Notamacropus eugenii: one gene and its partners. The protein of the gene in region 1 interacts with the protein of each later gene in a biochemical or structural test. Links are inferred from orthologs where the notes say so. Each region holds a gene or a part of one and is shown in the gene's direction. Other genes may lie near its edges.

The links.
Region 2: the proteins of HTR2C (region 1) and APBA1 form a complex in vitro, tested with the Homo sapiens proteins (2 studies listed by BioGRID and IntAct, with this or other methods). The link is inferred for Notamacropus eugenii from reciprocal best matches to the Homo sapiens genes HTR2C and APBA1.
Region 3: the proteins of HTR2C (region 1) and LIN7C form a complex in vitro, tested with the Homo sapiens proteins (2 studies listed by BioGRID and IntAct, with this or other methods). The link is inferred for Notamacropus eugenii from reciprocal best matches to the Homo sapiens genes HTR2C and LIN7C.
Region 4: the proteins of HTR2C (region 1) and MPDZ form a complex in vitro, tested with the Homo sapiens proteins (3 studies listed by BioGRID and IntAct, with this or other methods). The link is inferred for Notamacropus eugenii from reciprocal best matches to the Homo sapiens genes HTR2C and MPDZ.

What each region holds. Positions count from the first base shown.
Region 1 is NC_092879.1:95,876,139-95,883,859, reverse strand, and holds the start of HTR2C (5-hydroxytryptamine receptor 2C), read left to right. Parts: upstream 1-4,716; coding exon 4,717-4,754; intron 4,755-7,721. UniProt on the Homo sapiens protein: G-protein coupled receptor for 5-hydroxytryptamine (serotonin).
Region 2 is NC_092872.1:103,059,126-103,066,945, reverse strand, and holds the start of APBA1 (amyloid-beta A4 precursor protein-binding family A member 1), read left to right. Parts: upstream 1-4,811; 5' UTR 4,812-5,098; intron 5,099-7,820. UniProt on the Homo sapiens protein: Putative function in synaptic vesicle exocytosis by binding to Munc18-1, an essential component of the synaptic vesicle exocytotic machinery. May modulate processing of the amyloid-beta precursor protein (APP) and hence formation of APP-beta.
Region 3 is NC_092877.1:23,933,162-23,940,360, forward strand, and holds the start of LIN7C (protein lin-7 homolog C), read left to right. Parts: upstream 1-4,192; 5' UTR 4,193-4,326; coding exon 4,327-4,363; intron 4,364-4,713; exon of another isoform or gene 4,714-4,855; intron 4,856-7,199. UniProt on the Homo sapiens protein: Plays a role in establishing and maintaining the asymmetric distribution of channels and receptors at the plasma membrane of polarized cells.
Region 4 is NC_092872.1:30,053,326-30,061,250, forward strand, and holds the start of MPDZ (multiple PDZ domain protein), read left to right. Parts: upstream 1-4,920; 5' UTR 4,921-5,030; intron 5,031-7,925. UniProt on the Homo sapiens protein: Member of the NMDAR signaling complex that may play a role in control of AMPAR potentiation and synaptic plasticity in excitatory synapses. Promotes clustering of HT2RC at the cell surface.

The sequences.
Region 1 (7,721 bases):
TGGCTCCCTCATGTAAGTGTTTCAGGTCACTAGCCTAGTAACGCTAAGACTAAAGAGCACAGTGCAAGGCCAGAATGAGGGCTGGGGAATGCTCCCCATACCTGTGGTCCTTCAGTGTCATGGAATACCTGCTTCTGTTTTCAGCTGCCTGGGAGAGGGCACGCATTCCTGCCATAGTATTGCGAATTTCCTAGGTCATCCCTTAAACAAAGCGGATCGCCAAAAGCAAACAGCTTAAGACATTCTGACTCGGAACTCCCTGGACAACCTAGTCAATTAGCTCAACTTTGGGGATCCAGTGGCAGTGACCATGAGCCTTAAGGTGCTTTTCCCAGCCACTCAAGGGAGAGGCTCATGGGGCATCCCTTCCAGCCATCCTGCTGCACATCCTCATACACAAGGGCAATGGAGCCCCCACTCCTGCCTGTGCCTAAACGGTACCCATAGTACCAGGGGACCCTAACTGTGCGTGTCACATTGTGAAGCCGTTAGTGTAGCCTCTTCCTGACTTTGCCTCTCTATTTCAGTAGGAATGCAGTTGAGTCCAGCCTGTAACCTTTCTGTTTTCCTACTCCTCCCAAGTAAAGGCCTCTGTAAGGTCCACTTGTAGCAATGAGTATTTGCTCATTTCTGGGAGTGTTCTCCACGGCCCATCCCAAATTTTGAAGGGATATTATTTTAGGAACACAATTGGTATCGTGTCAGTCAGGGTAGGGATGAGTTCAAATCCTGGAGGAAAAAAATGGCCCTAAGTGGATCGAGCTGGAAAGAACTCTGAACATCCTCTCATTTACAGAGGATGAGGGGCTCCCAGAGCTGAAAGGTAGCAAGCGACAAAGTAGAGATTCCTGTCATTCCAAACATGCTCTGTATTCTCCTTCACTGAGGCCGGGGGGGGGGGGGGGGGGCGCCAAGGGATTCGGAGAAAGGGGACTCAGAAGTCAAGTATAACTTCCTCCACACTAGCTGTGTGCCCACCCCTCAGGGACTGAGGCAACATCTTAAACCAGTCACTTTCAAGAAAGTGGTCTTTTTGCATTGATTCAGGGAGGGGACCTCTCTCCATGCTGACCTGGGCTCGGTTCCCCGGGCTCTCATGGACTCAGCAATCCCAAGTGTCCCTGCAGAGGAGTCACCCTGCTGAGGCAGTCTTGGGGATTGAGCTACCTTGTCTAAGCCTTGGCCTCTTCTGTCCAGAGGGCTGAGGGATGGGATGTAGGGTGAGAGGTGTACAAAGGGTTCACATGCTCCATAAAAGACAAGATAAAAAGTTGCCTGGTCATCTGTCAGCTTCTCCTCAAGCAGGTGAGGTCAGGTGAAGGAAAGTCATTGCTCCTCTGCCCTTCCCTGCCCCCATCTCATCAGGACCGAGCCTTAGGACACTGAGGCAGGACCAGGCATCTCCGAATTTCACACTAACCCTGCAGATTCTGCTAGGGGGTCAGGATGCTTTACAACCTCCCAAGCCCTGGCCGCCTCCTCTGTGCCCAGAGCTTTTCAGTCCCTGGTTCCTCCAGAGTCCTCCAGGCTGTGGAGAGCGGGAAAGGAATGGGTCCCAGCTGCAGGCAGTCAAGTCGGCTTGCTCCCAGCTGCCGTGGAAGGTCCCCAGAGCTAAGTCAATCGTTTTTGAAGTTGGCCTCCCACAGCATGCTTATGCTTTGCAAATTTGTTTTGGCACAGGAGCTGGGGTGCAACCTGTGACTCGACTTACTCATTAGATGGAAACGGCCTTTGTCAGCTGCCACATTGCTTGAGTCACCATGTTGCTAAAATAAGCTGTCTTCTGTGAATCGTGCTGCTCTAATTCTGCTTTCTTGTCATTTTTGCTTGGGTTCTGTCTTCTGCTTTGCCTTGCCTTCATTGTTTTCCCTTTTCTCCTGCTGTTCTACTAAGTAGGCAAACAAACCCTGAGACACAGTATGCTTCAGCCACGGGATGGATGGAAGACAAAACAAACAGCTGTTTAAACCTGCCCGGTAGGAAATCCGAGACATTAATGTGTATCAAAGCAGGTGCTGCAAGAAGTCTGTCTTGCAGCCCTTGCTGGAACAGAGTCCCCTCAAAACCTGAGATTGGCCACCTCTGACTTCCACCAAAGTCCTTTTGCTAGAGTCTCTCCCCTCCCATCAGCTTTCACTCACAGAGATATTACACACACCTTTACTGCCAGAGCTAGGAAGCAAGAGATTCAGCCCTAAGGATGATTCTTTTTTGCCAAAAAGCCCCTTTCAAGATGAGGCTTCCCTTCATATATCTCCCTGGCGATCATCAGAGTTCCTGGTATGCCTCATGTGCTACCACCGATGTTGCAGTATTGGACATGTCTTTGCTAAACATGTCATTTCACAAGGATTTAGACTTTCTTCTGGGTGAGGTCTTTCTGAGACATTGTCCTCTGGGCAAGTACAGCTCTTCAATGATGTCAAACCATGAGGGAAAAAAGGCCCCTGGCTTTGTTTTAATTCAAGAATATTCCTCCTTTGCCAAGTGACATGTCCATAAACAGCCTATGGGCATCAGAGCCCCCAAAGGTGAAAAGGCTATGGGTAAGGACCCAGTAGTAGGTCACTGAGCCATGGAACAATGACACAGGGCTTTGCCAGTAGATCCTGATCCAGTAGAGTCATTAGGATTTGGGCAAGGGAGATAAGAATCCCAGATGAAGGGCAGGTTCCATCAGATTTCCCAATGAGAATTACAACTTCATCCAATTTGGAATATTGGCCAGCGAGCCCTGTGGATAAGGCCCCCAACCTCAGTTTTTCTATGGAATAAGGGGCAATTGAAAGACTGACATTCATTGAGTATTTCCTAGGATTTCAGTCAGGTGTGGAACCCATCTTCCGAGGGTTCTAGTGCATGACTTTACCATATGCACATGTGGATGTGGATCTGCCTATGCGGGGTATGGACATTCCAAGTCTACACTTGTATGACTGTAATTTCTCTGGCCTTTTCCATTCTGTTCATGGACTCGTTGAGGGCTCCACCTTTTTATGACAAACCCATATTCTTTAAATGATACAGCAATGGTAAAACAACATCCCTGTCACTTTACAATGACTAGCCACCTCAACCAATCCTGAGTAGAATTTTTCTTCTTCACAAGGAAATACAGGTAAGTATAAGCCTTCCAGACCTACAGTATGGGTACTTGCATTCTCAGATCTCCTAGAAGAATGTGTGTGGGGAGGGCTCCCAGGTTCTCCACCTGCCCCTTATGGATCCTGGAAGCAAGAGAGGGGAGGAGGACCAGGTCTGGTCATTACAACTTGGGGTGATTTTATCTTCTCCCTCAGAGGCTCTTATTGCCTCAGGCAGAGGGCTTTTCTAGATAGAAAAGGGGGCTCTCTTGCTGACTAGACTCTTGGCAAATTGACATCCTCAGCATCAGCTCACTGCTGGCACTTCTTCCTGCCTGGAAACCTGCCAGGGCTCCTACTCTGAGTCTGGGTCACTCCTGCCTGGGGAAAAGGAAGCATCGTGGAAATGTATAATTAATTTGGCCTCACCCAATGTAAGCCCCTTCTCTGGGATTCTCCAGGGCTCACTGATGACAGACAGCTCAAATACTAATTGGACGATTTTGAACCCAGGCAAGCAGAGATTAATGCCCTCCTCTCCCCTCTCCCCACTCGCTTGACCCTTGTTAATGATATTTCTCTAGAGAACAGACTGTGGGACCAGAAAAAGGAGGAGATGATTGTTGATTCACTAAAACATAACACCCCATCTGCCTGGCCTACACTGGGCACATCTCCACCATAGCCTACTCACAGAACTAGTCTAATCATTCAGTGTGATTCCTAGTGGGAGGCATTTCTGGCAGTCGTAATCTCCTTTGGTTTGCTTTCAGCTGTAGGTGTTTCAAATGCTACCTGGGATCTATGTATGCCAATTGGTAGTCCTCCTTGGAGGTCTGCTGCCCAGCTCCAAATTGCATCTTAACTCACCTCCTACTTGTCTTCCAGCTTCAGACATCAGCAGACTTGCTTGAGCGCAACTTCCTGTGAGGTAAGCTTCTTCCCCAAACCCAGGAGCGGCTTTTCCTGACTTCCAGTCCTCTCCATGAGTAGTGAGTTGTTTATCAAGGTCCTGCTAGGGCCTGTGAGAAGCAACTGAGCTAGAGACATGTAAAAGCATTGTGTGGAGATGAGTCATTCATCAGTTCAGGAACGATCAGCTTTTCAAATGTGCCTAGAGATTGGGGAGGGGTGTTCATCTCTACTCTGAGGATTTCTGGTATCTTTCAGACCTATGGGCCTCCTGCCCCAGGTTCATGAGATCAGAAACTCATGAGCTTCCCACCCCCAAAGCAAAGGGAAGAGTTTCTGAGAAGCCTTGGATAAATAACAGGCATCTGGCCCCTTTCGAAGAAATCCCCAGCCAAGGAGGTACAATGAAGGAGATTCAGTAAAAACATGACCCTGTGGCCAAGCCGCGTCTTTACTTCGCAGTATCATTGATCCTGGAAATTTTGGAGAGAGAGCTCAGTTATTTTTCTGAAGGGGCCCAGTGGCCCTTTCATGTTCTCTCAACAGAGTTGGAAAAATGTGGGGTTTATTTGTTCTAACCTTGGTTTGGAGTGATGAGAGAGGAATTTCAGGAATTTCTCATGGAAGGTTTTTTCTTCCCCTCCAAGGAAGACCAGGATTCTCAACTGAACGGCCAACTGATAATGTTCCCTAGGTGCCCGAGTGGAAACACTGTGCAACCATGAGTCTTCTAATACCCAGACTTAGGGCACTCTCCAGGTAAGAACAGCCAAGAGGTAGCCTGAGGCTTGCTTCCTCGCAGTGCAGAAAAGACCTTTGGAGCAAACTGAACCCTCCTAGTAAGCACTATCTGCTGCTAGAGAGAAATTGATCCTTGCAAAAATATCAGCCAATCAACCTTTTCCTTAATTTTTGAAATCCTGAAATCAAACAATGAAATAGGCTCTTTGTAGAGGTTATAGGTTTCCTTTCACTGGTGGTCTGTTTTGTCCATTCATAGGAGAGGGAAGAGAAAAGATAAAATAGTCCAGTCTCAGACTAGATGTCTTTCAGGATCCAGTCTGACTCCACAAGGCCATCTATTGAGGAAACTGAGGTAGGGGGAGGGAATGAATGATGTAGTAGCCAAGGTTAGCATAGCACTCTCTCATCTTTCACGGCCAACAAGAGGATAAGAATGGCACCCAAAAAGGGTGGTGATGACCCTTTTCTTTTTTCCATCCCCCTACTGGGGTAGGTAGTAAGAATCAGATGACATCAGCTTACCTGAGAGACACCTGTCAACTCCTTTCCGTGGTCTTCATAGGCCTCACCAAGCACAAAGTGAATGGGAAAGTCCAATATCACTGACCCAGAGGGAAAAGCGTGGTGTGGGACTACTTAAAGATGTTTGCTCTGTGGGCATGAACCTCCTTTTGGTCTTTTCTCCCTTTCCAGATTGTGTGTAAGAGTAAATGCGTGATTATAACCTCCTCTGTGCCCACCATGTTTGTCACATCCTAGGATCACAATGGGGAAAATCATGACTTAGAAATAAGCTACATGTGAAAAGGGTTTTTCCTTGTCTCTTGGGGTGATTGAAGGAAAGAATTTGAGATGGATACAATACATTATCCTCCTTATGGGGCTGATTCATTAACTGAGGTCACCATGGAAAACACCTGACATGGGGTGGGGTACTCATTCATTCAGCAAAAGCAATGTCATTCTGCACTGAAAGTCTCATACAAATCTTGGACAGATGTTCACCTGCAATTGGAAAGGAACGAGTTTTTGCACAAAGCTCATATAATCATGAATAGACTTACTCACAAATGATTTGTGCTACAACATGTCAGAACAAATCTCCAACAGGCCCTCGTGGCCTGCGAAACAGAGTTGCCTCAGTAGTTTGGGGAATGTAGCCACACTCCGGGAATGACCTCTCTTCTCCTAGTGCCCAACATGGAAAGCCTTTGGTTTGATGTGGAGTATTCCACCCATAGTACCAATCTGTGACTTATAGTGATGACAAGGATGCCATCCAGGACCCCCTTTAAGATACACTGAAAGGAGAGGCATTTGTGTCCATACTTCTCACTTCTGAGCCCAGTAGCTCAGTATATCTGTCTCTGTACATGTGGGTAGAATCATAAGCATGCCAGGTCTATCTCAAAAGGGAATGTGGCCCCAGCATGGGATCCCATGGGCTCCTTTCAGGGTCTCAGAGGCACTCTGAAGGAAAGCAAATCCTAATGCCAAGCTACCAAATTCATCCTAGCGCATCTCCAAAGACCCTCTCCGTAATGAGACCAGGTTATGCTGCATCATGAACTTAGACACAGCTTTGAGTAGGGATGAGCCCAGTCCTTGGATCCCATCTGTTTCTTTCCTAGGTTTGGGTCCCATGATCCTTTCCCCAACTAACTTGTCATACAAAGCTGTCTATTTTTCACAGCATCCTTTGTTTCCTCTATCATTTAACTTAGATCAGAGGCAAGACCAGGTCCGAGGGGAGATGTGATGTCAGTTTCTTTATCCCTGCAAGGCTCCTGGTGGGCCAGAAGCATCTCCCCTGGGTCTTACATTTGGTATCAGGCTGCTACCAGGAGGCTCAAACTGCTCTTTCCCAGAGCAAAATCGAAAATGGCAGGAGGATGCTCAGCATCCAGGCTTGGGAGCCCAATCCTGAGACTCATCCATCCTTTGGACAGATCATGTGATGTCTGAGCATGGGACAGAGGTGGGGGAGTAGTGTTATTCGGTAGGAGACACAAGCCAGCAGACCTAGCTAAAGATGGTGAGCCTGACACCCTGACCTGAGGCTCCTGGGCGGTCTGTTCCTCCCTCCCAAGGAGAACTGGGTCTAGGTAACTCTTTGAAAGCCTTTAATCCCCTTTTCATTAAAAGCATAGCAGTTATGCAGAAACTCTTGGCCCTTTGTCCAAAGGGGAAAGGCAAGGCCATGGGGGTGGATATTTAACGCGACTCTTTGAGGGTGGGTTAGAGTAAGGCCAGGAGAAGGGCAAAAGAGAGTCCAAGCTCTGGTCTCAGAAGGACTTGACTTTGGCCAAAGCTCCAGACTTGGAGAACTGTGGCAGAAACAACCAGGATCCCTTCCCACTGGGTATCCTCCCTCCAGCCTTCTGTGATCGTGAAGCATTTCTGTTGGTGTTTCCATTGGTATAATGAGAAGGAACAAGACACAGTGGTGATTCAAACCTGAGAGAGTATAGGTAAGAGATCAGAGATGGAGGTTGAGGGTGTGGAAAAGGATTCCCTGGGGGGGGGGGGGGGTCATGTCACTAGGGTCCTGAAAGTGGTGCTCAGAGAGTATCTCAGGAAAGCATTCCCTGTCTGCTACTTTCAGAAGGGAAGATGGCCTGCCTGTTTCACCATGCAAGGAACCAGGACCCAAAGCTTACTTGGTGAGGATGGTGTAGCTGCCTTCTCTGTAGGGTCTAGGTAGACCCTACATTGTCCCTCTGCAAATGCGGTGCTAAAATGCCTGGGCTGGGCAGATTCTGCTCACCGATGTCTCATACCCTGGGTGCTCTGCTCACCTTTGGTACGATGGGTGGAATAAGCCAGATCAAACCTAACTGCCCAAAGAGGACTGCGGTTATAGTGCTGGAAGGTACCTCAGACGTCATCTCCCTTAGCTGAGAGGGAAAGAAGTTGGTACCTGGGGAGGTCCAATGACTCCTCTCCTTCTTCCTTGAGTTGCTGCTTCTGTGATCTTTGGCA
Region 2 (7,820 bases), on another chromosome or scaffold:
CATCCTGATCTCTATCTGGCCACTAGACCCACATGGCTGTGGAGGAGAAAGTAAGGCTATTGACTTTGCACAGCCCTCCCTCACTTACATCCAATTCATTTGCAAGTCATGGTATATCTTACTGATGTCATAGTCCTGTTCAAGAAAGAAGGACAAACAACAACCTGTGAGTAGTCTGAGTTGCCCAGCTGGGGCCAGTTCTAGTTAGACAACTCCCCTCCTCTCCCCTTCCCTTCCCCCCCCCCCCCCCCCCCCCCCCCGCCCTTTCCCTTTCCCTCCCTTTGCCTCCTGTCTTCTTCTTACCTCTCCTCTCCCCTCCCTCTGTCCATGTGGGGTATCATGTCCTTACCTTCTAGTACTATGCCTAAAGGAATATAAATTTTGATGGCTGAAACCTAGCAAAGTATCTTGGGGTTTACTGGCTAGACTTCTTTACTAAAGATCATGCCTTAAACTCAAATCACTCTGGCTCTCATTGATTGACCAACTTAGAGGTCATTGTTTGGGTCCTGATGACTCAGAGTGAATAGTAAATAGTAATGGTTTCTGTTTTGGTCAGAAACCCTGAGGGTCTTCCTCTCCCAGATTTATTATTTTGGAGGTGGGGTTGATTAGATCAAAGGGGCCATTCCTTGGCTCATTTTTTAACCAGGCTTAATTACTGAATGGGCATTGCCTCAGTCAAAGTGAGAACTTGGAAAGATCTTAACTTAAAAAGGCCAAGATTTCCCACTGCATCTGGGGCCAAACCCCAGTCATCCTGATCGAAATCTTGCCACTGGACCCAGATAGCTCTGGAGGAGACTGGTGACTTTACACAGCCCTCCCTCACTTAAATTCAATTCATTTGCAAGTCATGGCATCATCTTGCTGATGTCCTGTTCTCTTTGGGCATAAAGGAAAAATAACACCATCAACAACTTGTGAAGACATCAGTCATTTGGGAATGGGTATGAGAAAGTTTAATACTTTTTAATTTAATTAATTAAGTTTTATACATTTTAATTTAATTAAAACTTTTAATACTTTTTCAGTTGCCCAGTTTGGGCTACTCTGTTTCATGAGATATCTTTGATTTTAATTCGTGGTCATCTGGTATGAGTTGGTAAAAAGAAACATTGGTGGGGGCTTGTGGGCTTATAAGTTTGACAACATAAACCTGATTATGGCTGACAATTGTGTCACATTGAAGGAACCTGGGTACTACACATTACTATCAGAATTTCAATTATACTTGCTGTAAGAAATTGAATTGTTTTATTAAAGCCCAACTTCTTCAGGTTTTTACCTGTTTAAAAGACCTCTCTCATTCCAAAAGGAGTTTTAAGAATGCATTTCCTGTCTGAGATAAAATTTTTAAAATCTGCTATGCCTTGAGGTCAGGCTTAGCATCATTTCTGGAACTCAGAGGATACTCTCTAAAGAACCATGTAAGTTGTCATCCTGTTGCATTGATTTATTTTTTTTCAGGTTAAACATATTTAATTTCTTTATTTTTTCATTTCTTTGCTTTTCAAATAATATTTATTTTCTCTCCTTTACACCCCAATCCCACAATTTAAAAGAAGAAAAAGAAAGAAAAATAAAACTCTTGTATCAAATATCTGTAATTCCCACTTTGGCTGTGTCTAAAAATGTATGTCTTGTTCTACATCTTGAATCTGTCACCTCTGTGTCAGGAAGTAGGTAGCATACAAAGATCATCATCAGTCCTCTGGACTGGTCATTGTATTGATCAGAGAACTAAAGTCTTCCCAAACTGTTTGTGTTTATATGTTATCATTATGGTGTAAATTGTCTCCTGGTTCTGCTCACTTCCCTCTCCATCAGCTTTTTCAAATCTTCACAGCTTTCTCTAAACCTGTCCCTTTCATTATTTTCATATTATATTTATATGCCATAATTTGTTCAGCCACTCCCCAACCAAAGTGCATCACTTCAGTTTGCAGTTTTTTGCCACTACAAAAAAAACTTGCAAATGTTTGTATTTATTGTCTTTTCCCTCTTCCTTTGATCTCTTTGGGTAAAGGCCTAGTAGACGTATCACTAAATCAAAGGATGTGAATAATTTAATGACTTTTGGGGCATAGTTCCAAATTTCTTTTCAGCAGTACTAATTTATAGTTCCACCAATAGTGCATCAATCAAATATGCCTGCTTTCTACAGCCCCTCTACTATTTTGTCATTTTTCTTTTTTTGTATCTTTGCCAATAAGATGGGTGTGAGGTAGAACCTCAGAGTTGCTTTAATGGGCATCTCTCTAATCATTACTGACTTGGAGCATTTTTTTTTTTTTGTCCACGAGATTATTGAAAGCTTAGCTATTTTCCTTTAAGAATTGCCTATTCATATCTTTTGGACATTTATCACTTGGGGAATGTCTCTTATTCTCACAAATTTGAATAACTTCCTAAGGGATACAATGGATAGACACTGGACTGGAATCAAGAAGACCTGAATTAAAATCCATCCTCACACATTTCTTGACTGTGTTGTCCTGAACAAGTCACTTTAACCTCAGTTGGCCTCAGGCTCTTCAGCTGTAAGATGGGGATAGTAATAGCACCTAATTCCCAGGGTTGTTGTGAGGATAACATCAGATGATACTTGTAAAGCACTTTGCAAATGTTCAATGTAAAATGCTCATTATTATGAGCTATATGTTAGAAATGACATCTTTATCAAAGAAATTGCTGCAAAGATTTTTTCCTATTTTCCTGTTTTCCTTCTAATTTTAGTTTCATTGATTTTGTTTATGCAAAACTGTTCAACTTTATGTAATCAAATTTGTCCATTTTATCCTGTGTGATCCTCTCTATCCCCTGTTTGGTGATGAACTTTTCTCCCTTCCCTAGATCTAAAAGGAAATTTCTTTTTTGTTCTCTAATTTGTTTACGATTCTGTTGCTGCTCAGTACTACCTGACTCTTCATGACCCCATTTGGGGTTTTCTTGGCAAAGATACTGGAGTAGTTTGTCATTTCCTTCTCCAACTTATTTTACAGATGAGGAAATTGAGACAAATTAGATTAAATGACTTGACCAGGGTCACACAGCTAGTAAGTGTCTGAGGCCAGACTTAAGCCCAAGAAGATGAGTCTTCCTGACTCTAGGTCTGGCACTCTATCCACTGGATCATCTTATATGTAGGTCAGAAGGGAAGCGCTCACAGGAAGGTCAGATGAAGAAGGACACTGTCAAGGTTTCTCTGAAGAACTTTGGAATTGAATGGGAGAAAAGGGAGACACTGGCACAGGACCACTCAGCATGGCATGCCCACAACAAAGAATATGTTGTGCTCTGTGAGCAAAGCAGAATTTCAGTAGCTCAAAAGAAACTTAAGATGCACAAATTTAGAGCCATCTCCTTTCCAAATGTTCATATGGACTATTTGTGTCCAACCGGTGGTAGAGCCTTCCAAGCTCATATTGGTCTGATCAGTGACAGCCAGACACACTGTACCTTGACCTCAACATAGTGAGGTAGTTTTGGTCTGAGAATGAAGGACAACAAGCATATCTAAGTCATGTGTCCATTTGGAGCCACTCGGTAAATGGTGTGAGGTTTTGGTCTAACCCTAATTTCTGCCATACTAGTTTCTAGCTTTTGTCATTTGGGAGTCCTTACCCAAGTAGCTGGGGTCTTCAGGTTTAGCTCACATCATGCTACTGTCTTTTCCGCCTTAGTCCTTATTACATCATACTTTCAGAGCTGGAAGGAACCTTGAAGACCATCAAGTTCAAAACCCTCCTTTTACAGATAAGAAAACTGAGGTTCAGAATGTTTAAATAAAGTGCCCAGGGTGACACAACTAGGAGGAACTTAAGGGAGGACTGGATCCCAGGTCTTTCTGTCTCCAAATACAGCACTTTATCCATTACAAGTTAGCTGTTTCCTCTCTGGTTTGAAGCAAATTCTTTAAAACACATTCAAGTGCATTTTTTCAAAGTTTTAATTAGCTAAGAGAAGAAAATGGCAGAATAACAATGAAACGTATTTCCAAGCATTAGCTTCTGGAGTCTTTGGAGTTGCTTTTCCCCTCTTGGGGGACTGAGCAGTTTCCCCTTAGGAGATACAAACTTGCCAAGTCTTTCATCCATAAACAGTTTTTAAGACTCTTCCCCCTTGCGTCTAGAGATCTTATTGCAACATATTTCAGTAAGAACTGCAAAACCTCTGTCATTAGAGTGTCCTGTCCTGGAAATGCTAACAGTACGGAAGGGGCCAGGAAAGGGGAAGGGTAGAGGGGGGCAAAGCTAAGAGATAGCAACTAAGAAAGAAGAAAAGCCGTACAAAAACAGCCGCTTAGATTTCACCGGGGGAAAAGTGCTGCTGGCTGCGCGAGAGGCCACTTTTCTCTGGTTACTGTGCAAACATGAAGGCTGATGGCATGCTGAAAGCGGAAGGCTGACCTAACTGGCCTAATCAGTGACATGGGGACTCCAACGCATCAGCCTGGACGGTCGTTTGGTATTGTCACCAGGGAGAGGAGAGCCCTGGGAGGGGGGGAGACGCCGGCAGCACATCCCACCCGCAGCCGTGGCCAGAGAGGAGGGTGTGCGGGGCATCGGGCGCTGCCTCTGCGAGGAGGCTGGAGAAGGGGTCGCTGCTGGCTTCTGGGCTTGGGGACCCAGGCCTCTCCCTGGCGAGGGTGCGTGCGCCCGCAGTGTATAAAGTGGCACACACACACACACACACAGAGGCAAGGGTGCGCACGCGCACGGACACACAGTACACACACACACTCACACACACAAACACACGCAGTCCAACCCCGGCTCGCGCGGCAGAACGTCACGCGGAGCTGGGAGGGGAAAGAGAAGGGAGGTGGGGCCGGGGATCCGGGAGAGGAGAGCAGGAACAGGCACTGGTGCTGCCGCCGGGGCTGCGGGTGCTGCTGCCGCTGCTGGGGGAGCTAGGGGCAGCCCCAGCCAGAGGCGGACGAGGACGAGGACCGGGAGGGGGAGGAAGATGGTGGAGCCGGAGGCAGCCTCGGCCGGAGGGAAGGCTCGTGCCCAGGCTGGGCGCCCCCCCTGTCATTGCCCCCGCGCCGCCTGCTAACGTGGGCCCCGCCAGACCCCAGCTGTCAGGCTACGAGGTACCGGTGGGGAGTGGGTGGGGAGGGATGACGATCCAGCCTCCGACGGATGCCTCTCCCGCAGCCCGGGAAGGGATGGAGATGGTCCTGAGAGGAGAGTGGGGGGTTATTGAAGCAATAATGATGCCGGTGGTGGTGATCAACATAATGCAATCCTGGCCCCCCCCCCCCCCGCCCCCGCCTCCATCCCCAAATGAAGGGAAGAGGGGGATGCTTTAGACTGGCTGTTCAGTGGTGAGATGCGGTGCTAAGACAGGGGACCAGGAAGGGGGCTAAAAGGAGAAGTACAGCTGGATCTCTGGGGAGATGCAGGCTGAGAAATCGGGGCCTGCGGTAGCAGGACGTTGTGAGTGGAGTGTGTGTGTGTGTGCGTGTGTGTGTGTGTGTGTGTGTGTGTGTGTGCGCGCGTGTGTGTGATGACATTTTCAGGAACCCCTAACCTCTCTCCTCAATTGAAGATTCAGTAGAAATAGTGATGGAAAGCGACTTAGACCGTGGTGTGTGCTGTATGCACTTGCTGGATGAAGGGATTTGGGGAAAAGGAGCAGGTTTGTAGGACACAGTGTATGTGTGCCCTCGCGTGAGCTAGGGGCTCGCGTGATTGAACCTCTAATCCTCAAACTGCACGGTCAGACACAAGGGTCTCGTCAGCTCCCGGCTTGCTGTCAACAGCCTCATTAACAGCAGGCAAGACTGTAGGACGTGGTGGTGGGAGATCCTCGCCCTGGAACGGTCCGATTTCTGAGAGTGCCTCAGTATTTTGGTGTGGGTGAGTGATTTTCTCCCTGCCCCGACCCCCTCTTGTTGGAGTGTAGGAGAGGAAGTAGAGAGGTAGCGCCTGAGCACATGGTCCCGTAATCGGGTGATGGTCACACCTTCTGGAAGTGCTGGCTGTCCCTGCTCGTCCTGCTTCTGTCCGTAGCAGCACCATGCAGGTAGCATTCTTTTTGCCTAGTTTCTGCATTGGTCTAAGCCTCCTCCCTGACGATGCAGCTTCTATTGTTTGTCTCATTTCTGACCGGTAGAAAGATCTTCACCGTGTCTGCCCTACCATCTCCTCTCCCCAGCCTTCGGTCCCTTAAATGTCAAGAACTGTATCTCCTGCTACTACCAGTGTAGTAACTCCAGCGTTTGTGAACCACCAATAAGTGATATTTTCTCTTAGTTTTTTTTTTCTAAACTCATTGGTTTAGGAAAAGAGTTACCCCCAAAAAAGGAGGGGGGGGGAGAAAAAATGGTGCATTAGTATTGTCATGAATGTTTAAGAAATGAATGCCTCCTTTCTTAGCACCAGTGAAATAAGCTTTCCTAGTTTTCGCTAATGGGTGCTCTATTGAAGTCTCCCAGGGACCAAAGGGATAGAAGTGTGTTTGCTGAAAAGTCATCTGCCCTTTTACCTTGTGCTTTGCTGTTGTGGGGAGTTTCAGGTCTGGTCATAGCCAGCTGAATCAAAGCCAAGGGTCACAGACATGGACAAACAAAAGCGTTATTGTTGAGTTGATTCTGCATAACAGGAGTAAGCCACCACCAGCATTGGTGTGAAACATATATAGCTTGTGTGTGAGAAACTACACATACATACACAGAGGAGAAACTGTGTCTATAAATAATGATACAACTGTAGTTAAGAGCAGCCAGGCATGTACAATGTAATTTGAATTCTTGGTGCACATATCTTTCTTTTGAGAGAGAAGAATTTATCTTTATAATAAACACCTTAGTATTTCTTTGTTAACACATTGTATGGCTAGCTTAGCCTGCTCTGAAATATTCTAGTCACAATATTTTAAATTCTACTGCATTGCTGTCAGAATCCAAACTGGCTGCCTTGTCTTTTTCCCCCTTTTAAGACCATAGCTATTATGCCTACACGAACAAATATACAACGTATCGTTATCACAGGGATTTTTTTAAAGATTGTATTATTGTTTTTATATTACAGTTTATAATTAATAAGAATCAGAGCCACTTAAACCTTCCTTTACTATATATAGCCATTGTTAAATGTATTTTGTTCATTCAGGCTTTCTTGAAAAAGTCAATATGAATTATAGTTTTATTATTATTTTCTTTTTGAGCCTTTAAAATTTCAATTTGAGGTTGTCCTAACTCTTTGAAGAGTTGGGGATAAATTTTGGGGAAAAAACCACATTCATAGATTTGGGTACACAGTCTCCTGTGATTTGTGTAGAATCTCTTTCTGATAAGTAGTTAACTGAATTTTGAAGTCTTAACTTATTCTATGTGAGAAAAAAGATTTTTTAAAAAATTCTCTATATTTAGAAGTAAACAGAAATGCCCAGTAAAATTCAAGCTTCTTCAATAAATAAAAGCAGCATATTTTCCAAGAAAGTTTATATTCCTCTTGAGTTATCCAGGGATAATCTGGGTTTGAGTAAGGGAATTGGTAACTATATTGATTGAATGTCATTTATAACAAATATGATTACATTTAATAAAATATATATAATATTTAGAGATGAATAGATTTTCTTAAAATTGCCTAGGGTATGGCTAATGATACAACTTGAATTTTGTAATTCATTGTAGTAAGTTGTAATAGCTCTTGTGGTAGCCTGCAGCAACCCATTTGTTTTGCATGGATGCATCTCCTTCACTTAAAGTATCATTAATGCTATTTTTCACTATTATTCAGCTTAAAAAAAAAACAAGTTGATTCTTTAAAATACTTGTAAGAGAAAAATATTTGCTGATGGAGCTG
Region 3 (7,199 bases), on another chromosome or scaffold:
TCCAGGAGAATGTTGTACACAGCATCAGCAATATTATACAATGAGAAATTGTGAATGACTTAGCTATTCCCAGCAATACAAAGATCCAAGGCAATTCCAAAGGACTAATGATGGAGTATATTATCCTCCTCCAGAGAGAGAACTAATATTGTTTGAATACAGACTGAAGCAAGCTATTTTTCACTTTCTTTCCTTCTTTTATTTGAGTCTTTTTGTATAAAATGACTAATATGGAAATGTTTTACATGACTGCATATGCGTAACCTATATCTGATTGCTTATCATCCCAGGCAGAGGGAAGAGGAAGGATAGAAGGACAGAATTTGGAACTATATTTTTTAAAAATATGTTAAAAAAATTTTAATATGTAATTAGGGAAAATAAAATATATTTTTTAAAAAAAATGTTAGTGTCTTTAAAACAGACTTATTCAACAATGCAGAGGGCTTTCTGCTGCATTTAATTTTAAGGGTAAAGCACTCCTTCACTCACACCAATGGGATAAGGCAAAGGGTCTGAAGAACACCTTCTGTTCCTCATCCCTCTTTAGACCACAGAACCCTGAGAAATAAGGCTGGGGCCTTGACCTTTTGGTTTGTGATCTTCCCTCATAAGTGCAGGGAGTAAAGCCATGGGAAGGCAAGAGTCCAGGAACCCAGGCTGGATATTGCAGCCGGCCAACCAGCCCACCAGAGATAGCCTGGGAAGCGCAGGTCCTGGGTGTAAAGCCTAGCAGAAGATGGACTGACTGCTTTGGCCTTGAACTTGGTGAGATTAATGTTATATAGGATCTGGCTAAATTGTGAGCCTAGTCCCCCTCCCTTGTCCAAAGACTGAGGTGATGTCTATGTGGGAAATTATGCTTCTGAGGTATTAGGGGAAATGTTGGTATGTTTATTCTTGCTGTATCTCTTAAGTAAATAATAATAATAATCATAGGTAACATTTATATAATGTTTACTAGATGTCAGACTGTGCTAAGCACTTTGTAATTGTTATCTAATCTGATTCTTACAATAGTCTTCATTCCCATTTTACAGATGAGAAAACTGAAGCAAACAGGGTTAAGTGACTTGCCCAAGGTCAAACAGCTAGTGGGTATCTGAGGCTAGATTTGAATTCAGGTCTTCCTTACTCCAGAATCAGCACTCTATCCACTGTACCAGCTTTGTAAAAGTTAATTTAGTATCAAGTAGTGAAATGAAACTGAGGTGTTAGTCACTTGGCACCTAAAAGTGAAGGGAATATAATAGGGGCTCCAACCAATGACAAAGAACATAGACTCCCTCACCCTCTCAGGGTACCAGAGAACCCTGGGAGGGCAGGTGTAAAATGTAAGGAACTGGCCCTGTGTGAATGAGTTTGGAATAAACTCGTGTTACACTTGACTACTCAGAAGAGTGTTTTTAAATACATAAAATAAAATATACAGGATACAAAGAAAGACAATTATTTTGAAATGAAGCCATTTTCTCAGCCAACCAAGTTCACAGACTCCTGAAATCTATCTGCAGACCCCAGGTTAAGAACTCTTGATCTATCCTAACCTTTTAATTTTACAGATGAGAAAACCAATCCCCAGACAGAGGTTATACAGCTAGTTCGTGGCAGAAGCAGGACGAGAGTCTGTCTCATGAAACTCATCCCAGTCACTTTTCTACAATACCAGGCGATCTCCCATTATACACTGGAGGAAGAAGAGCTGGTGGCACACCAAGGCACTCAGATCAACAGTAAGCTCTCCATCTAAGATTTATCAGAATGATACATCCTAGAAGATCAGGAAATGCTAGTGGGCAGACCATAGAAATCGTAATCTTATTGAATTTTATTGCAAAAGATTTATTGCAAAATCTGCAATAAATTTCTAGTAACACTAGTGAGCTTGTCACTTCCACCCTCACTTGATACTGTGACACTAAAAACACAAAATAAGGTAACTCCTTTCAGACCTACAGCCAGTCAGAAAGGTTCATGGATCTTTATCACCTACCTCACTGGTCAACATCAAAAATAAAATTAACACAATCACAACAACAACGTTTCCTCAAACTTTTGCCTGGGTAAATAATGACACCCTTTGATTACCTGGTTCATAATGGAAAGTATACTAACTTCCAGGAGACCTGGGTCTAGACTCTTCTACCTGCTAACTGTAAGACTTCAGACTTTTTTTCATTTAGTATTTTATTTTTCCCCAGTTACATGTAAAAACAATTTTTACCATTCATTTGAAAAACTTGGAGTTCCAAATTCTCTCCCTTCTTCCCTCCCCTCTTCTGCTCCCACTGAGAAGGCAGGCAATTAAATCTAGGTTATACATGTATAGTCATGCAAAACATTTCCATAATAGTTATGTTGTGAAAGAAAACATGGACTCTCCCCTCAAAAAAAGCCCTCAAGAAAAATAAAATTAAAAAAGTTATGTTTCAGTCTGTATTCAAACATCATTAGTTCTTTCTCTGGGGATGGATAGCATTTTTCATCATAAGACCTTGATAGCTGAGACTTTAGACCTTAGGTGAGCTAGCAGCAAGCATAAAGTAATCAATCACTAAACTGGCTAACTAAAACCCAAATCTTTCGATTCCTTCTCCAAGCTTTCCCCCCTTGACCTACCATATTACTACAGTCTTCTTACTGAGGTAGAAAATAACATTGTCCTCGCTGACTTTTAGCACCCCTTCCAGGCTTAAATTTATGCTTCTTAATCTATGACCTAAGTCTCTGCCACATTATCCACTTGATTCTATATCTTAATTTCATTTATTCATGATGATTTGAATGAAGTATCCCTATTTCCCTACTCTGAATCAGAACCCTGAGGCTACTGGATTCAATAAATCAGATAGTCCATCAAGCACCTATGTTTCAAGCAAAGTGCTAAGAACTGGGGACACAAAAAGAGACAAAAGTCAGTCCCTATTTCAAAGAAGACCATGCCATCAGAGAAATGATGACATGACTTGGATTGGACTTTGTTTTGAGTGAGGGAGGGCTGTGCAGGTCACCAGTCTCACTTTCCCCTACTGAGCCATCTGGATCCAGTGACCAGATATTCATCAGGATGCCTAGACACTGCCCAGGATGCAAAGGGAAACCTTGGCCTATTCACTTAAAGGGGCCATTCCCTGATTACAATCTAACATTGTAAGTGCAAGGTGAAGATGAAAGTCTCGCTTTTTTGAGAAAATTTCTACTGTGTGATTTTGACCGTGATAATAATATATACCAAGGATGCTAGGAGACTGGGAATCGAAGAAAATATCCCATACGCAGTCTACATTAACAGAACTGCGACTGTATCAGGAGCCTGATACATTGTGGCAGTGTTCCAGGGCACTGAATACACAGGACGCTGACGTCACCTAGGGTGTTTCAGCGGTGTGCGAAGAAGGAAGCCACCCTACACAGTCAGCTCAGGTTGTCCCCACCAAAGGGGGCATTCTCCTCCTCACCCTCTCCACTGAAGGTGCCACTTGTCCTGAGTGGGGTGTGCGTGTGTTGGCCGGGTGCCAAAACTCCTAACTGCAGCTCTGATGTTTAATAAAATTTCCTGAATTCTCCTGTGATGAAGTGCCTGGATTTAACGGGTTTGAGACAAAAGCACTATCCGCAGGCTCGAAAAAGAAAGGTTTTTGCAGAGGCAGCTAGGGGTGTTCGGTGACTGAGAGTCCGAAAGAGCCGAGTGCCAATCCTGCCTCCCACACTTGGACATGTAACCTGGATAAGTCACTTGCACATATTACATGTTACATGGAATATATTTACCACGAGTGTACGTAAGCCTGTTTATAGAGAAGTTTACAAAGTTTTCCGTCTCTATCTAGATAGACAGGACGGCCCAAAAGTCTTGGTGCAGTGGAGGTGGGCAGCACGTAGCATTTCCATTTTACAGGTGAGGAAACTGAGGCCCAGGGTCGCAGAGCTCAGGATTTGAATCCACGTCTTCCCGGCTGGCTTTCTGTCGCCGACCCCTCCCTTGCCAGGTACACGCCTCCTAATCTGTCTCCATTCCCACCTTACCAACTAGACGGAAGAGGGGGAAAGAGTGCGGGAACCTATGCCGGTGCAGAGTGAGACAGCACCAGCCTCTGGGAAACTCGAAAAGCTGGCGCTGGAACGCGCACGCGCACGCGCACGCGCAGGCGCCTCCCGGCGCATGCTTAGCCAAGCCCGCAGCCCCGCCCCCGCCTTCCCTCGAGATCTCGCGGTATTTCCTCCCCCTCCGCTCGCTAGGCCCCCTCCCTCGGAGACGCTTGTGAGGCACGCAGCGAAGCCGTCGTTTGTCATCATTTCCCGTCGGGCCGCGCGCGGGGGGAGAAGATGGCGGCGTTGGGGGAGCCTGTGAGGCTGGAGCGGGGTGAGCTTTGGGGCCCGACACGGGGTCGGAGGAGGAGCAGGAGACGGCGGGCGAGGGGAGGGCAGGGCCCCCACCCCGAGGAGGGGCGAGGGCAGGATCCGGGAGGGAGGGGAGGCCCTTCCGGGACGTCCCAGCCCGGGGCGCCGGGGAGCCAGGGCGGGACTCGGGCACGCCCACCCACGACCGGCCTGGAGCGAGGCCCTCCCGGGGCCGGGGCCGGCCCGCCGCGCTGACGCTGCACCCCGAGGCACGCACTGCCCTGACCCGCGCGACCCCGACCCAGCCCCCACCCCCACCCCCGGCCCGACCTGCCCTGCCCGGTCCGCGCACTCGTCCGACCGCGAAGTCACCTGGTCTGGTCCTTCGGCGGGCATGCATTAAGCTCTTACTGTATACCAGGCGCTGCAGTGAGCGCCGCGGCCTGGAGGACCGCCGGCCTTTTTTACACTCCACCTGTGCCCTCCCCTCCCCAAGCGCGCTCACGCCCTGTGCGCATGTGCGCCCCCGTACGTGCGAGCACGTGGCTAGAGGCTGGGGTGTTGTACGCTGCTGCTGCCCTTTCTAACCCTTTCGCCCGTTCAATTTCATTAGCATAAATTCAGCTTTTAATCCTCTAAAGTTGGGGTGTAAAATTTTGATCTGTATTTCTGTCTGCAGCATTGTAGGTCATCTGGGCCACCTCTTGAGGTTAAGTGACTTGACCAGAGTCACTCGGGGTATTTGCTGAGGACAGGGCTGTTGGCCACCTGAGTAAGGGTTCCAGGGTCTCCCACATTTTGCAGTGAGCCAGCTAGACAGAGCCCTGGACTTGGAGTCGAGTTCAGATCCTGTCTCATCCTTAGTAGCTGTGTGACCCTGGTCCAGTTATTTAACCTCTGTTTGCTTCAGTTTCCTTATCTGTGAAATAGCACCTACCTCCCATACTTATTGTAAGACTCACAAGATATTTGTAAAGTGTTTTGCAAACCTTAAAAGTGTTCTGTAAATGCTACATATTATTTCCAGTGACAGGGTTTGGAGACTTGAAACACAGACTTCTCAGTTACACTTAGCAGACTTACACACCTTAGATATAACAGGTAAATTGTCTAGGTGAACCTGCAGTTACCTTTCCTTATACCCTCCCCCCAAGCTTAATTACACACACACAGGCACATATTCTCTACCAGTATACACATATCTAAATGTATGTTTGCATATGTGTGTGTTTATATCTGTGTGTATATGCATACACTTGCACTCGGTCCCCTTCCCAACTCACACACACTCACTGCTCTGTTAATAACTGCTAAATATGAACTACCCTCTTTACACCCCCCCCAGATGCCCTGAAACACGCACAGAGAGTCTGAAGGCAAAGAACAGATTACCTTTCTTTCAACCACACATACATACTAAATATATTGTCTATTTTTACACAGTCAAGGTATATGCACCATATCACACCTCTGTTAAATCATACATAGCAGGTAGACATGACCTGATTTACCCAACCACATAAATCACCCTCAGGCCTAAAAATTCACATGTTACAGCTACTCAAACCACGTACTTCACAAAGAGTAGCTTTTATGTGAAGGGTCAGTGATTGCCTGGCCTGGAAAGGTTAGAGTCACAGGATTACAGGAAAAGTCGGGTGTTACTTTCTCAAAGTCTTTGAGTGTTCTTAAGATTGAAGAACTATTGAGGAGTGAATGAGGCCACATGACTCATCTGAGCTTTGGGTAGAGTTTAAGTTCTCAAAGAACAAAGACCAGCTTCCTTGTTATGTAGCCTTATTTCTCCCATACCACCAAACCAGAGTTGGTTAAGGATTTCAGACTCAACAGGAAAAAATTGTTGCTCAGGAGTGTAGACGAAATGAGATTATGTGAATAAATTGAATTTTCCCTTGCTTGTATAGTGTGAGAGGATTTTAAAATTCTTTTCTACCCTAAAAATATTCTTATATATTGTTACATTCAGCATAATTTTCTTAATACATTTAGTCAAAATTCTGGTTTAGATTATCTGTTGTTGGAGTACATGATTAACATCAAAAATACAGAAATTAACATTTTTTTGTAATAAAAATAGAATAGGAATTAAAATTATCTTCCAGATTATAATTATACTTCCAAAATTTTAAGTAGCTTTATTCACCATGAGCATGTAAAATTTTTATGGTGTTGTTTAATAGCTTAAAAAGTAGAGGTGTCACAGAAGACCTGGATTCAAGTCCCACTTCTGATATATACCGGCTTTGTGACCCTGAGCAAGTCATTGCCCCAGAAAATTCTAAGAATACCAGTTGCAGAGAAGGTCTCAAACTAATTTGATGTAAAGAGTTTCAGGAGTTTTCTACATAAATGAAGTTGTTGGTTCCCACCATACTATATAAAAATATTTTGCTCTTCCCCTTCCTGACAAACACCTAATCTCTAATTCTTCTTGTGTTCATGACTTAGATACTTTTTAGTGCATTCTGTGTGCTTCATTAGAGGCTAAAGAGAGATCTATCCCTTCACACATCACCAGCCTATTAATTAAAATATCGATTTTTCCAGGAGACTTTTAAACCACAAGGCTGTAACATCCCTCTCCTTAGTACCAAACTACTATGCTTTATGCTAGGAAACAAATCTGTTTGGTGTCAAATAGGAGTAGGTTTTTTTTTTCTTAAAAGCTAGTTTTAGAATTCTTACATGTTGACAATGAGTGTTCTTTTGTATTTTTAAGTACTGGACAGAATAATTGCATGCAGCATCACCTCTAGCATCTGTTTTTGGTAGTGATGACTTTCTCCTATTTCAATTTTTTCTCTGTTTCTTTGTTTCAAATGATAGTAGAATGATAA
Region 4 (7,925 bases), on another chromosome or scaffold:
CACCTGTGACCTTAAGGCAGCAGGTTCCCCACCCCTGATCTAGAAGTTGGAGAGCTGATCTTAGAGCCAAGAAGTCCTTGGTTCAAGTCCAAGAACTGATACATACCTTCTCTGTGACCTTGGACAAATCACTGGACCTCTCAGCACTTTTGACTATTCTTTTAAACCTAAAGTTGCAAAGATACTATCCTCCTGCCCTGGGAGAGGGGATTCCTTGTATTAGTGAAATCACAGGTACAATCTTTATCCTTATTTATTTTGTCCATTTTCTGTATATGATTATTTATGTACATTTTTTCCACTCATAAAATGTGAATTCCCTAAAGGCAGGAACTATTTCATTTATGCCTTTGAATCGTCTAGTCTTAGCTCAGGACCTATCACTTAAATAAATTATTAAAAATGGGTTGGTTAAAATAAGGCAGATAGGTGGTTCAGTGGATAGAGGGCTGGACTTGGAGTCAGGAAACGAGTTCAAATCCTCCGTAGGACATTGAGCAAGTCACCTAACCACTTCTACCCTCAGTTTCTCCATCTGTAAAATAATAAGATAACAGTAATAAAGGATAAAATAAGAAGATAAAAATAATAAAAGATAATAATAGCTCCTACCTCACAGGTCTTATGTGAGGACCAAATGAGATTACATGTGTAACGTACCACATAAATGCTAGCTATTACTGCTAACACTTTTATTATTACTATCCATATTAAGGAGATAGTAAGAAAACACCTAGCTTCCCAAGAGTTAACATCTCCTGGAATAGCTAAAAATATGCCCAAATAATAAGATCAGTGCTGGCAGCAATGATTGCTAAGCCATTTCCTAGGGTCTTTGAAGGAGTGTGGAAAACTGGAGATGTCCTTAAAGATTGGAGAAGAGTAAATTTTTTTTCCTTCCTTTTTTTTCTTCCTTCTTTTCTTCTTTCCTTTTCTCTTTCTTTTTTCTCTTTCTTTCTTTCTTTCTTTCTTCTTTCCTTTTTTAGAAGAGAATGAAGTCTTCTAAGTATAGGCCAGTGAGTTTGATCTTAATTGCTAGTAAAATTCTAGTACTGTGTTATCCAGGATACTGTTAGTGAACATCTAGAAAAGAAATCTTTAGGGTGGTCTCAAAGATCCATCCTAGCTTCATCAAGAACAAGTCATCTCAGACTCACCTCATTTCCTTTTATAGACCAGTTTATGAGGCTTGTAAATGAGTTGAATTCTGTAATTATAATATACTCTTCTGTAGCTTTTTTTTTTATAATTTTAGGAAAGTACTTGACAATCTTTCATGCTATTCTTTTGGAAAAGATAGAGACATGTGGGATGAGGTGAATCTTAAAGTGATTGAAAGGCCAAATCCAAACAGTAGCCATTAATGTTCCCAATGTAAAGGTCTCCAATGGCATGCCCTAGAGATCTATACTTGTCAGGATGCTATTTGACATTGTTATCAGTATCTTGGAAAAACCCATAGTGCCATGCTTATCAAATTTGCTAATGACACAAGGTCAATATAACAAAATTTGTGTTTGAAAAGGTCTCAATAGTCTCTAGAATTCTGGACTATAAAAAAAGGGTTTTATTTAGTAGGGACAAATATAAAATCTACTACTGAGGTTCAAAAAAACCATCCCTACAAGTACAAGTCGGGATAAAGATAGCTAGAAAGAAAGATCTCTGTTTTTGCAAACTGAAATCTCAATACGAAGTATGAGCACTTTTACAGGGCAACTCAAAAAGCAAATGAAATCTTGGAATACATTAAAAGGGGTAAAGGATGCAGCACTAGGGAAGTCATAATCCTCCCCCAACTACATATGGAATATGATAAAACAGTTTTAGGCACCACATTTTAGGAATGAGAGACAGTGTTGCATGGAGCAGAGATATCCAGAGTTAGGCTGTAGCTCCCAAGACTCCCAAGTAAAGCTTAAAATACAATTGGGAAATGTTTAACAAAATAAAAATGCAATAAACCATAAATAATGTTAATGTGTTACTCTAAGTCATTACGCAGCCTACAGGGATCCTTATGTAAAGTCTGTCCACACACACACACACACACACACACACACACACACACACACATCCTTCTATTTGACTTTGGCATCACTTGGGCATTAGAAAGGCCTGGAGGCAAAAAAGAGACCAAGGCTCAGATCCTTGCTAAGATGCTTCCTCACTGTGTAACCACACAGTTAACTCATCTATAAAGTGAGGCCCCAAAGAACTGATGATATTTAATCAGAAAAGGAGGAATTTAAGGCATCTGTGATAAATGTTTTCAAGTCTTTGAAGGGAGGTCTTATAGAAAGGAGGTTATGTATTTGTTCTTGGTCTCAAAGGGAAGAAATTAGAACAATGGCTGGAAATTACAGAAAAGCAGATTTTGGTTTGGTTGAAGGAAAAGGTTTCTAATCGTTGTAACTATCCCCAAGTGAAATAGACTGGCTCAGAAAGCAGTGGCCTCCTCCTCACTGAAGGTAATCAAATGAAGTCTAGAAAGCAATTTTCAAGGGCTTTGTAGAGGTCTTCTTATTCAAGTATGGAATGAATTAGATGGTTTCTGAGTTCCCTTCTGATTCTGAGATTCTGGGACTCTTTCAAATCTGTGAATTCAAAAGTGATATCAGGATTAGAATGAGAGATAGTATGGCACAGGGGAAAAGGCCTACTTCTGAAGACCTGGCTTCAGCTCTGAATTTTGTCATTTAGTACCCTTGTGACCTTGACAAAAGTCCCTTCACTCTAAGCTTTCACTTTATCATTTGGTGGACGAGATGAAATACCTTTTAGCTCTAAGGGGCTGCAATAAGTCAGCACTTTCTATAAAGGGGTGGAAAACAGTGAAGCATTTATGTTTTAATTGAATAGAGAACTGTTTCACACAGTTGGAGGAAGGGAAGTTTATAGACTGGTTTTTCAAAAGAAATTCACCTTATTTGGTATGCCAATCTCATTTAGGAAATCAGCCCTCAAGGAAGAGAGAACTCTAAATAAAATGTTATCTCCAAAAGATTACTGAGAGTTCTAAGTGATTTTGTGTTTTGTATTTTGCTTTTCTTTGACTAGGTTAAAAAAACCATTCTTTGTCTCATTTCTTACCTACCCTTAAACACTGAATGGGTGTTGTCTCAGTCAAACTGAGTCCTGGAAAGGTCCTCAGTTTAAAAAGGCCAAGGTCTCCCACTACATCCAGGGCCATCTCCAGTTGTCCTGATCTATATCTTGCCACTGGGCCCAGGTAGCTCTGGAGGCTGGTGACTTTACACAGTAATCCCTCTCTTAAATCCGGTTCACTTGCAAGTCATTGCATCACTTTCCTGATATCATGGTCCCCATCAAGAACACAGAATAAACAACAACAGAGTTCTAAGATAGCGTCAGCCTCAGGCAAAACTGAAATAGTGACTGTTTGTCTTCTGTGGGGACCCTTCTCTCCCAACATCCTGCCTTCCCTTTCATCTCCCTCCTACTTTTGACATGAGACTGTCATCACTTATCTAACATCCTCATGCCCTCTAGTATTTGCTTATACCTTTTAAATATCATGTTCCCAATACAGGATTATCAATCAGGAGCCTTGAGTTCAAATCCCAATTCTATCCCTACTAAGTAGCTTTGTGACCTTAGGTAAGCTGTTTAATCTTTCTGTTCCTAGTTATTTTCTTTGAAAGGATGGGGTTAAATCATGTTCTTTTAAGAACACTCCCAGATCTAAAAATTGCTATTTTAGACTTTTACTGGCTTTTTTCTCTGTACCCTAGAATGTGATTAAACAATTCATCTGATCAACAAACCAGTACCATAAGTCCTAGTTTGAAAGCCCTCTTAGGTAACATCAGCATTTTATCTATTGTTCTGATCAATGGACCCACCTTCAAACCCATCTAAGTGGCACTCATGGGACTCCATTTCTCCAATGCTGAGAGAACCATTTGGAGACAGATACTGTTTTTGGTGTACCTTAAATCATACCATATAGTACCCTGTATATAGATAGATTATATGTCACATTTTTTCTGAGGGTAGAGGCCTCTATATATAGATGGAAAAGAGTTTGATTGACAGGTTTGTTTAGTCCAATCTGTTACCACTCCTAATTGGCAGTTAAGCGGGCAATTAAGGGTGGAGGTGGAAATCTGGGAGCTTCTCCCATTTTTTTATTCTTCCATTTAAGAATGACACCCAAGGAATTCTCCTCATCATTTCCCACCTGGCTAGTTTTCTGGACTTCATCTTTAGAAACACATCATTCTGTAAAATGAAATCCATTTGAAAACATACTTATTCATATCATTTCCCACCCCAGCTTCATCATCTTCCTCCCCCTCTGCAGCTTTTTTTTTTGTATATTGTCTTCCTCCATAAGATTATGAGCTTCTGGATAGAAGCTCATAGACTGTCTTAAGCCTCTCTTTATATCCCCAGAGCTTAGCATAGTGTTTAATACATAGTAGATGCTTAATAAACATTTGTTGACTCTAATTCTGATTCTGATAGGACCTAGAACCTCAGATTTTCCAGGCATTAGTAAATCAATGTATGTATTTCTCTAACAGATAGAGTTCTATGCTTGGGTGCAGGAAGACTTGCATTCAAATTCTTCCTCAGGCACTTATCAGTTGCTTGACTGTGGACAAGTCACTTGACTTCTCTAAGATTCATTTTCCTCATCAATAAAAAGAGGGGGTTGAAACTGATGGTCTCTGAGGTCCCTTCCAGCTACAAATCTATGATACTATAATCCTTCGTAGATTGGCTCGAGCAAATCCATTCACTCAGCAAGCATTTATTGAGCACTCACCTAGTGAAAACACTTGTGCTAAACATTCTGGAATATAAAAAGAATAGTATGAGCAAAGACCCCATCCCTATCACCAATGCAGATCCTGCCTCATCTTTTCTTTTTCTTTTTTTTTAATAGGGAAGAAATCATAGAAGAGAAGCAAATATCTCCGTTAACTGAAGAAACCCTGGATTTGAGGTCAGAAAACTTGTGCTCAACCCTTGACTCTGCTACTCACAAGATTGGACCTTTGGTGAGTCATTCATTCCATGTTTCTGGCCCTCAGTGTCCTCATCTGTATAAAGAAGCAGATGAATTTGATGACCTGTCAGTTCCGTTGTAGCTCTAACAATCTATGAACAGTCTTGGGGGTCTCCCTGAGTCAAATCCCTCCCGACTCCAATTCATCTACACTCAGGTGCCAAAGTAAAATGTAGTTCTCACCATCTTCCTTCTTCGATAAACTCCAATGACTCTCTATTGTCCCTAGGATCAAATATCAAGTCCTGTGTCTGAAATTTACAGTTCTTCACAACCCTTTAGCTCTCTTAAACTTCATCTCCCTTGGATATTCTGGCTTACTTACTCATAGTTCTTGGAACATAACACTACATCTCCTTTTCTTTGCATTGACTGGCTCTCATGCCTAGAGTTAGGGAGGCTGTTGGAGCCAAATCACAGAGTATCAGGAGAAGTGATTGTAAAATTTTCAGGGTGAGCATTTATGCTTCAGAAATCAGCAAGTGCTATAAACCAGAGCTTGATTTATTGTTTTGTTGATTATCTAGACTTAAGAAAGTGTTAATAAAGCAGATTAAATTTAAAAGCATGTCTTACATACATTTGCCTTTTTTAAAAAAAAGTTCCATTATTTTTTAATGTTAACTTATTATTATTTATTTAATTGTTAATTATTATTACATATATTTTAATGTAATATTCTTAATATTTAACTTAATTTTTTAAATTAATTTAATAATTAATATTAAAATATTAACATAATTTTAAATTATGAATTTCCAAATGACCTCCTTCTCTCAAGTCCTTTCCTCATCTCTTGAGAAGGCACACAATATGATATCAATTATCCATGAAAAATATATTTCCATATTTGCCACATTGCAAATAAAAGGCAAGAACAAAATTTAAAAGTATGCTTTAATCTGCACTCAGAATTCATCAGATGTCTCTCTGGAGGTGGATAGCATTTTGCAACATGGATCTTCTATAACTGTCTTAGATCACTGTATTGATCAGAGTAGCTAAGTCTTTCACAGTTGATCATCATTACAATATTGCTGTCATTGTGTATGGTGTTCTGATTTTGCTCACTTCACTTTGTACCAGTTCATATAAGTCTTTCTAAGATTTTCTAAAACCATCCTGCTCCCCATTTCTTAAAGCACAATAGTATTGCATTATAATGACAACAACTTGTTTATCCATTCTCTAATTGATGGGCATCCCTTCAATTTCCAGTTTTTTGTTACCACAAAAAAAGAACTGCTTTAAATGTTGTACATATAGGTCCTTTTCCCTTTTCTTTGATCTCTTTGGGATCGAGTATTGCTGGATCAAATTTTTCTCCAGAATGGTTTGACCACTTCCAGGAGTCAAGATGGAGAAGTAAGAAGTAATCACCATAACTCTTCCATATTCCCCTCCAAACAACCATAAAAAAACACCCCAAAACAAATCCTGAAATAGTAGAACCAGCAAAAAGATGGGATGAAACAATCTTTGAGCCCAAGAAACTTGGAAGATTGACAGGAAAATATCTGTCTCACTCAGCTAAAAGGGGGACACAATCCAGGGGAGGAAGCATTCCAGCAAGCCAGCAGCAAGTCCCACCTTAGCAAACTAGCAGTAAATTCTGAGCCCCAGTGCAGTGGAACAGGCAAACCCCAACAATAGGATCCCCATGTGCCTCAGCATAACCAGAATAATGGGCAGACTCCAACTCTGATAACCACCACATGCTTCTGCATAGACACAGGCAGAAGCAACCTTCAACAGCCAGACCCCCACTGCTTAAGTGAAGCCTTGTGCAAACAGAATGATTGAGCCAGTTCACAACTCCACCAACAAAAGATTAGTGTCCCTATTTTTCCACACACCCTTCAGTACTTATTATTTTCCTTTTCTGTCATGTTAGCCATGCATCAGTTTCCTGATGCCACAGTCCTCTTTGAGAAGAAAGGACAAACATCAACGTGTGAATAGTATAAGCTGCCCCACTGGTGACCCAACTGGCCAGTTCCAGTTGGGCAATGTAGCTCCTCCCTTTCCTCTAGTCTCTTATCCTCTTTCCTCTTGCTCTGTCCACATAGGGTATCATACCCTTACCTAGAAGTGCTCTGCTCAAAGGAAAGTAAATTTTAATTGCTGAAACTTCACAAGATATCTTGGGGTTTTCAGCCTAGAATTCTTTTGTAATGACCATGCCTTAAACCCAATTCACTCTGGCTCTCATTGATTGGTCAACAATAAGTCCCAGCCCAAGCCCCAGTTAATGGTCATTGTTTGGGTCCTGATTGGCTCAGAATAAAAATAAATAGTAACTGTTTCTGTTTTGTCCAGAAATCCTGAGGGTCTTCCCTTTTGAAACTGATTTTTTTAACCAGGTAAGAGAGACTATTTCCTTGTTTCTTTTCTTACCTAGCTTAATCATTGAATGGGAATTGCCTCAGACAAACTGAGACCTGGGAAAGACCTTAGGTTCAAAAGACCAATATCTCTCACTACATCCAGGGCCATCTCTAGCTGTCTTGAGCTATATCTTGCCACTGGACCCAGATCACTCAGGAGGAGAAAGTGAGGCTGATGACTTTGCAGAGCCCTCCCAAACTTAAATACAATTCACTCACAAGTCACTTTCCCTGTGCCGTGGTACTCTGAGAACCAAGGACAGCAAAAACAACGTTAGCCAATCTGATAGGTATGACGTAGTTCCTCAGTTATTTTAATTTTAATTTGTATTTCTCTAATTAATAATGATTTTGAACATTTTTTCATGTGATTATAGATAGCTTTGATTCCTTCTTCTAAAAACTGCTTCTTCATATCCTTTGACCATTTATCAATTGGGAAATGACTTTTATTTTTTATAAATTTGAATTAGTTCCTTATATATTTGAGAAAAGAGGTC